Callithrix jacchus: one gene and its partner. The protein of the gene in region 2 interacts with the protein of the main gene of each other region in a pairwise test. Links are inferred from orthologs where the notes say so. Each region holds a gene or a part of one and is shown on either strand. Other genes may lie near its edges.

What was found.
Region 1: the proteins of EXOC2 (region 2) and RALB interact in a two-hybrid assay, tested with the Homo sapiens proteins (2 studies listed by BioGRID). The link is inferred for Callithrix jacchus from reciprocal best matches to the Homo sapiens genes EXOC2 and RALB.

The regions. Positions count from the first base shown.
Region 1 is NC_133507.1:104,871,690-104,875,501, reverse strand, and holds part of RALB (ras-related protein Ral-B), read right to left. Parts: intron 478-3,812; coding exon 358-477; 3' UTR 1-357. UniProt on the Homo sapiens protein: Multifunctional GTPase involved in a variety of cellular processes including gene expression, cell migration, cell proliferation, oncogenic transformation and membrane trafficking.
Region 2 is NC_133505.1:31,011,120-31,015,711, reverse strand, and holds the start of EXOC2 (exocyst complex component 2), read right to left. Parts: upstream 3,039-4,592; 5' UTR 2,202-3,038; intron 1-2,201. UniProt on the Homo sapiens protein: Component of the exocyst complex involved in the docking of exocytic vesicles with fusion sites on the plasma membrane.

The DNA of each region.
Region 1 (3,812 bases), on a different chromosome or scaffold from region 2:
CATCTTACTCAACTCCTTCCTCCAAAACCTACTACAACACCTGTAGTTCAAAAGTTCTCTTTGTAATTAACACCTGTTTCCCACCTGTGGCACTTTATACATAGTGAAGCTTTTGGGAAGGAAGAAGGGAGGGAGGAAAAAACTCCACGACCTCCTGACAAAGCAGCAGTTCCACTGCATGGGCTTATTTCTTCTGCCAGCCACTGAGTCACAAATATTTTTCTCCATTTCAAGAAGTCTGAGTGAATGAAGCTGGGGAGAGCGGGAAGCACAGGCAAGAAGTCAACCACAGCCTTCTCTTTACCAACCCAGCCCTGTGTCTTTAGGGGCAACTGGCTTCATCCATCACCTTGACATTCATAGTAAGCAACATCTTTCTTTAAAACTTTTCTTGTTCTTGCTGCTTTTCTTGCCATTCTTGTCTTTGTTTTCTGACATCTTCTTAGCTCTGATTTCTCGCATAAGGTCAAAGAACACCTGGGGAATGGGGAGGAAGGAGTAAAAAGAATAGTGAAGAAAAAGCCATTTAATGATTTTGTTGTTGTTGTTAACCTGACACTGTGAACACAGCATTTAAGGATTCAATGAGATAATCTGACTAAGATGGATATGTATATTTTAAAGCATAAAGTCAAACTTAGTTTTGTAAACCAGATGTCAACAAAAACAAAAGATCTGGGGCAAATAAGCAAAATTAACCTTAAAAACATGCTAATTATAGAAAGTAAACATCTCTCACACAACTGCTCAAGCCAGGGACAGAATCATCATACTGTTATTACTGTGTACCAGCTGCATTTTTTTTTTTTTTTTTTTGAGTCAGACAGGGTCTCTCTATGTTGCCCAAACCAGTCTTTGAACTCCTGAGCTCAAGCAATCCACCCACCTCGGCCTCCTAAAGTGCTGGGATTATAGGCGTGAGCCACTGCACCCAGCCTAATAGCTGCTTTCAAAATGATAAAATCTTTTCTTACAATAAGTATGATGAAGGATAAAATGTGTTTTTGTATAGAACAGATCTATAAATTTACAAAGCTTACAAATATTGAGAGTAACAACAGCAAGCAGACTTTCTAGCACGTCCAACCTCCAGGAAAGGGAAGATGCCACGATGAGTCCCTGCTCCTAGGTACGCTTTACACTTCTGCATCTCATTGAATCTTACACGGACCCCATGGAGGGTGGGTCCTCATTCTGCATGACAGCTTTCCCAGTGAAGTCCACAACAGTAGCCCTGGGGAGGTGGCAGGGTAGGAGGAGGAGGGCATAAAGCATCAACAACTAAAGCTCCTGCCCTAGGGGACTGAGAAGATGGAGGATGAGTGATGTCCTTCTAGCCACCCTATCCCTCCCCACGCACACTCCCCCGCCTCTATTCTCAGGAATAACCACTCCTCCATCCCTTGTGATGTCAGCTGAGAGGAACTTTATCAAGAACTGACGAGACTTGTCCTTTGAAGGTCAGTGTGTTATTTAGATACGGATTATCCTTTTGTCACAGTAGTTTGGGTTTTGCCCTCTGCTACCAGCAATCAGGCCAGAGGACTGATTATACCCAGGCAGACAAAATATGAATCTCATGAAGACACATTTGAGATTTCTCATAGAGAATGACGGAGACTGAAAGTGGGGGACTGAGCACAAGCCTTTATCTTTGGACATTCACACAATACCACAAACTCCTTCATGGCCACACCTTCTTCTTGGTGAAAAGCAAGACCAAGCCTCTGGAGTGTGGGGCTCCCCATGCATTTAACACCAGCTCCAGGCACAAAAAAGCACCCCCAACCTCAGAACCTCAGGCCCCAGCTGGATCAGGCCAACCCAAACACCCCTTCTCGCCAGCCTCTCCACTCTCCAGAAAGAGCGCTGCCGGTGACAGCAACAGTGAACAGCTTCAAATGCTATTGGTTTCCCTTTTTTTTTTCTTTTGTCCTAACAGCACAAGACGAGAGGAGGGGAATGGAGTGCGTCCAACTTAGAACGATGACAAAGTTGTTCACGGGCTGATCTTATCACACCTTTCACGTAAATTCTTTACAAGTGAATACAATGCTGACAGTCCTAAGTTTCTGCTGGTTCCCATTTGGCAGGTCAAGCTGGTCCAGCAGACGAGGGGAAATTACAACACACACCCCCCTACCACAACCCATCCAATTAATACGCATCCGCAGTTCCAATTAAAAATGAGGCATATCTCTGGATTTCCTGTGTGGTTTCCATAGCTGGAAAATAATTTGATAAAAATATTTTAAGTAGCACAAGAACATAAGAGTGTAAGCGTTGAGAGATGACAATCTAAAGAAAAGCTGACAGGAACACACGCCTCACATAGCAGACGAAAACTAAACGGACTTCGGTTGTAGAATATAAATATCCCATATGTATATCTATCCCACATATGTATGTCACCTATGATATATGTTTTTATGTACGATACATACAAATAGATGTATACTGCCAAAGTGCATCTAAAGCAAATTCCTTCTAATACCAACATTCCAAACACCAACGTTCTTCTAGCATCATTTCAAGTGAAAATAAAGCTTGGATAAAAATCTCTCCCTTGTCAGATAATGAAGCACACGGGAATTGTTTCTGCACAAGAAAGAGAAACAGAAGACGGGAGTGGGGGATCCGGATGCTAATGCTGCAGAACTAAAAGCAGACGTGTCCACTGTGCGGCTGCCAAAGGGCTGAGATTCTGCAAGCGCGTGGATGTGCACTGAGAGCTAGTGAACGAGGTCAAGGCAGAAGGGAAGTCTCCTCTTTAAGGTAAAGCTTTAAGATTTTAGCTGTGTGGCAACCACCTTGAACCTTAATTTTAAAAAGACAAAAGGCCTGACAATAGCAAGCCTGGAGAGGTGGATTTTCAAATTGTCAGCATTCATCATTGTCACTCAAAGTCACCCTTTTATTAGTTTCAAAGATTTGAATGAGAAAGTATGCTGGGATGGGATAAGAGAGAGAAAAAAAAAAAGAGAGATCCAGAGAGTTGATTTCTGGGAGCAAATACTATTTAGATACTACACTACAAAGACAGACCACCATGGCTCTGTCAGTGAACAGTAAGGTAAAAAGAACAAATTTAACCAATAACTCAATGAGAGCAAAATCAAGAAGCTCCATGTATCTTTCAAGGGAACCTCCAGGGGAACCTCCTGGAAGCAGCCAGGCCCGCTCATCCTGCTCCTGAAGAGCAAGGCTGTGGAACGTGAGAGCACACACACAGCTAAGGAGGTCCATCCTTCCAGCCCAGCCTTCACAAACCAATGGTCTTGTCCCACCATCCTTCCCAGGACCAAATCAACAGTAAGTATACTCAGCCAGGTGTGGTGGCTCACACCTGTAATCCCGGCACTTTGGGAGGCTGAGGCGGGCAGATCACTTGAGTCCAGGAATTTGAAACCAGTCTGGGCAACATGGTGAAACCCCATCTCCACAAAAAATTACAAAAAATAGCCGGTGCACACCTATAGTCCCAGCTACTCGGGAGGCTGAGGTAGGAAGATTGCTTGAGCCCAAGAAGCAGAGGTTGCAGTGAACTGAGATCACACCACACCAGCCTTGTGTCAGAGTTAAGACTTTGTCTTTAAAAAAAAAACCACACACATTAAGCATACTCTACTCTAATGAAGCCTCATGACAACATGAAACGTTCTGGGGGTGTTTGAAATACAGGGTGATATCCTCTCAATGTTTCTCATTGCAATCATGATCATGGCTTAGACATTCAGAGAAATCAGAATCTTTGCCTAGTTTTCATAAATGGTTCCCCATATAAACTAGCAGGTGAGACGCCTCCATTCTGC
Region 2 (4,592 bases):
GCTCAGTGGCTCAAGTCTATAATCCCAGCACATTGGGAGACTGAGGCAGGTGGATCACCTGAGGTCAGAAGTTCAAGACTAGCCTGGCAAACATAATGAAACCCCATTTCTAAAACTACAAAAATTAGCTGAGTGTGGTGGCGTGGGCCTGTAATTCCAGCTACTCAGGAGGCTGACACAGGAGAATCGCTTGAGCCCAGGAGGCAGAGGTTCCAAGTCAGCTGAGACTGAGCCACTGCACTCCAGCCTAGGTGACAGAGCAAGACTCCGTATATATTAAGAAAATAAAGAGTTGCCAGGCACAGTGGGTCACTCCTATAATACCAGCACTCTGGGAGGCAGAGTTCAGAAGTTCAAGACCAGCATGGGCAACATAGTGAGACCTCCTCTCCACAAATAATTTTAAAAATTAGCCAAACAAGGTGGCACGCACCTGAGGTCCCAGCTACTTGGGAGGCTGAGGTGGGAGGCATTTCTGTGGCCCTGACAATCAAGGCTGCAGTGTGTTGTGATTGTGCCACTGCACTCTAGCCTGGGTGACAGAGTGAGACCCCCTTTCAATCAATTAATCAATCAATACACAAACAGATCCAAGGATGCCCATGGATGTGTCACCTACTGCTTTAAGATTCATAATTTCCCCACAATTATTTTAAGTTTGTGTATTCATGTCAATAATAATTTCAAACTAACAGAAACATACTCTAAAGCATTTGATTAGAAGTCAACACTACCACCATGTGATTTCAGTAGGCAGTCCAGAGAATCCATGAACATACTCCCCAGGATCTGAGAACAATCAACATCCTAGTACACTGCTTAGCAGAGTGATGAATGAATATTACTTCCCAGTTTCAAAATCCTCTCAACAACGACCAAAAATTCATCTTTTCAATGAACATTTAAGCACCTACTATGTGGCAGATACTGGAGTAGGAGCCCTGGCTATATTAACATGGGTAAACTAGAGAATGAGTGGAAAAGTAACTGAGAAAATACCCCTGCAACTAGCATTTCCTGTATGGCCTAATCTTACTGCTGCTTGACACCAGAAATTATTAAAAGTCTAGAAGACTATCCATGCAAAACTTTTTGAGTACCAACTTCATTGCCCATAGGATTGTTTCATAATGGGCTCCCAAGAACTTAACTTAGCAAGCTAATAATCATCTTTTAGAAAAGTAATACAGTTGACCCTTCAGCAACAGAGGTTGGAACAAGGCAGGTCCACTTATACACAGACTTATTTCAATACAAGTTGCACTGAGTGTGCCTGCCTCTCCCACTTCCCCTTCCACCTCCTCCATCTCTTCCATCTCAGCCACCCCTGAGACAATCGCTCCTCTTCCTCCTCCTCCACAATCTATTCATGAAGACTATGGGGATGAACACCTTCATGGTGCTCCACTTTCACTCAAGAGCAAATATTTTTTCTCTTCCTTGTGATTTTCTTAACATTTTCCTCTCTCTAGCTTACTTTATTATCATACAGGATATAATACATATAACATACAAAATACATGTTAGTCAACTGTTTATGTATCAGTAAGGCTTCTTTCTGGTCGACAGGAGGCTATTAGGAGTTAAATCCTGGGGGAATAAAATTTACACGGGAATTTCTGACTGCGTGGGCACCCTAACCCCAGCGTTGTTGGAGGGTCAACTGTAGTTCAAAATGGCATTCAGTGCAGGAAATTAAAAACTTGACAAGAAAAAAAGACTAGTTTCTAAAACTTCCAAGAGTTGTTCCAAGTCACACTGGGGGAATCTCTGCTTCTTTCCTTAAATTTATTAACTTTCTACGTAAGCAAACAAGAGGTAAGTACTAAGCAGACATCACTCTTTCTCGTAATACTCTGCGAATCACCAACTTTTAAAAGCACAAAAATCATCCTTGGGAGGATTTTGGCTTTCAGTTGATTTGTCATTAAAGGAGTCAGTTACACAAATCATGGGCCAGTATGTACTAACATTCATAAACAAAACATTATCATGCACTAGGAGACAGATCCATACGTAAGCTCAGAACTAACCTTTCAATACTGCATAGGGCACACAAACGATTTAACTAAAGTGTGGCTAACTTAGAAAAATATTTAAGTGTCCCTTGTAAGTTTACTCACAAATTCACAAAGGCATCAAACTTAAAATTTCCCAGACTTATTAGTATGTTGACCTTTGGCAGATTAAAAATAACTTACTTCCATTCAAAGACGAGTTGTTTCAAGAACTGTTTCTTGGAACTAAGTGTTTATTTAAAAACCTTGGGATACAGCGTTATGCATCAGCAGGCTTCCAGACTGCTGCTGTGCGGATTTGGAGCCGTTGCGCAAGGCCTCAATGGCAGCTACAGCAGGAACTAAGGCTCTTTGCTCAAGCACTCTGAGCCGCCGCTCCTCTATCTGTAAAATGGGGTCACAGGCACCGTCTACCCAAGCGCGAGGATCAAGTCCGTGCACGCAAACGCTGACAACAGTGGCAGGCGCCTTTTAAGCGCTAAGGACAGCCAGAGCGGGATGCATTCCTAGGCAGACAGGTAAAACCTGCCTCCTGTTTGCTTTCCGAGAAATTATCAAATCTCAGAGTGGCAACTACGCACGGCGCGTGAGGGGTACAGTTCCGGCAGACGGGGCGCGGGGTTTGCCCTCTGCAGCCCACACGCTCCGCACCGGCGCAGGTGGGGACGGCAGGGCTGGGAACTGCGGGGATAGGCACAGAGCCCCGCTGGCGCCTGACAGCGGGGGTGGGGGCGGCGGGGCTGGGAACTGCACTGGGTCGCAGGGCCCCGCAGGTGACCGACGGCGCGGGTGGGCGCGGTTGTCCCTTCACAGCTGAGGCCTGGACGGACGCCGCCATCGGCCGCCTCCGCGCGGCTGACGTCCATGCCCCGCTGGCCTTCGGCCAGGCCCTCCATCCTCCCACACATACCTCCTGCCGGCCTGCAGCCCCCCACGGCAGGCAAAGACAGGACCGGGTGGGTCTCGCCGAAGGCTCCGCGACCGCCAGCTGCCGGCACCTCACTTCCGCCCGCCGCGAGCGCCGAGCGCGTAGATCCGCCGGGCAGTCGAGCGCCGAGTCGTCGATGGGAGGAGCCTCCCTGGGAGGGTAGAGGAGGGAGGGGACCCGCGCGGGTACGGGAGGTCAGCAGGGGCCGTGGGCGGTGGATGTAGGACTGCCTTGGATTCCGAGGGACCCAGCCGCCTGAATGGACACGAGTAGGAGGTTTTTGCTGGGAGTCTTTGCAGTGGCGGGAAATGGGGAGCGGCGAGGGAGAAAGAGAAGGATATAAACTCAGGGGGCGGGCCGTGTGCACCATCCATCCCCGAGCCCTCGGTGACCTCAAAGAGGCTGCGAGATGATAGTGCGTTTATGGGGCCACAGTTCACAACGATGGGCCCTGCACTGGGTCAGGGGACCGCTCCGGAACAGGGGGATGCATGGAATCAGAGGGCTGCACCAGGTCAGGAGGCCGTGCCGAGAGCAGAAGAAGCATCGGGTCAGGAGGATGCACTGGAGTGTGCATCCCCAGGGGGCCACACTGGGTAAGGAGGATGCACCAGCTCAAAGGGCTGCACTGGGTCAGAAGGATGCACTGAAGTCAGGGGACTCTACCAGGTCAGGGGCCGCATCAGGTCAAGAGGAGGCACTGGGGTCGGGGCGGGAGCAACATTGAGTCAGGAGCAACCCTGGGTCGGGAGGATGGATGGAGTCAGGAGGCTGCAGGGGTTTAGGGACTGCAGTGGGTCAGGGCGCCGCACCAGGTCAGAGGATGCGCAGAGTCGGAGAGATGCTGGGGATCGGGGATGCATGGAGTCGAGGGGATGCTTGGGTCGGCGGGATGCTCGGGGTCAGGGAGGGGATGCTCCAGGCTGGGGAAATGCACTGGGTCGGCAGGGGGGATACTCGGGGTCTGAGGAATGCACTGGTTAGGGGGGATGCTAAAGGGTCAGGGGGCTATGGCCAAGGAGGAAGGACAATCAGGAAAGTGGGGATCGCAGATTCTGGAAGCTAGATAGTTTCAGGAAGGAGGAATTGATTGACAATGTTCAGAAGTACTGTGAGGCCAAGACTCCAAAGACAACTGAGTTTGGCATATGCCAGTCATTGACATCCTTGACAAAAGCAGTTCAAAGGAGTGTGGGGAACCTACATCTCTCATCAGAGTGGACTGTGAAAAGAATATTAAGTGAAGTGGAAAAACGTGACTTTAGACAACCTGGGTTGGCAGATTTAGCAATAAAAATACAAATACCCAGTAACGTTGAATTTTCAGATAAACAACAAGTAATTTTTAGAGTAGGTATATTGCTAAACTAATGTAGCATGGGATATACATCTACCAAAACATTGTTTTAGTATTAGTGTAAATATGGCCCAAGTATTGCACAGGACATACGTATATTAAATTATTATCAATCTGAAATTCAAATAGATGTTCTGTATTTGTTTTTTTAGACAGAGTCTCACTCTGATGCCAGGCTGGAGTTCAGTGGTGTGATCTCAGTTCACTGCAACCTCTGCCTCCCAGGTTCAGGTGATTCTCCTGCCTCAGCCTCCCAAGTAGCTGGGACTACAGGCACGTGCCACCACAC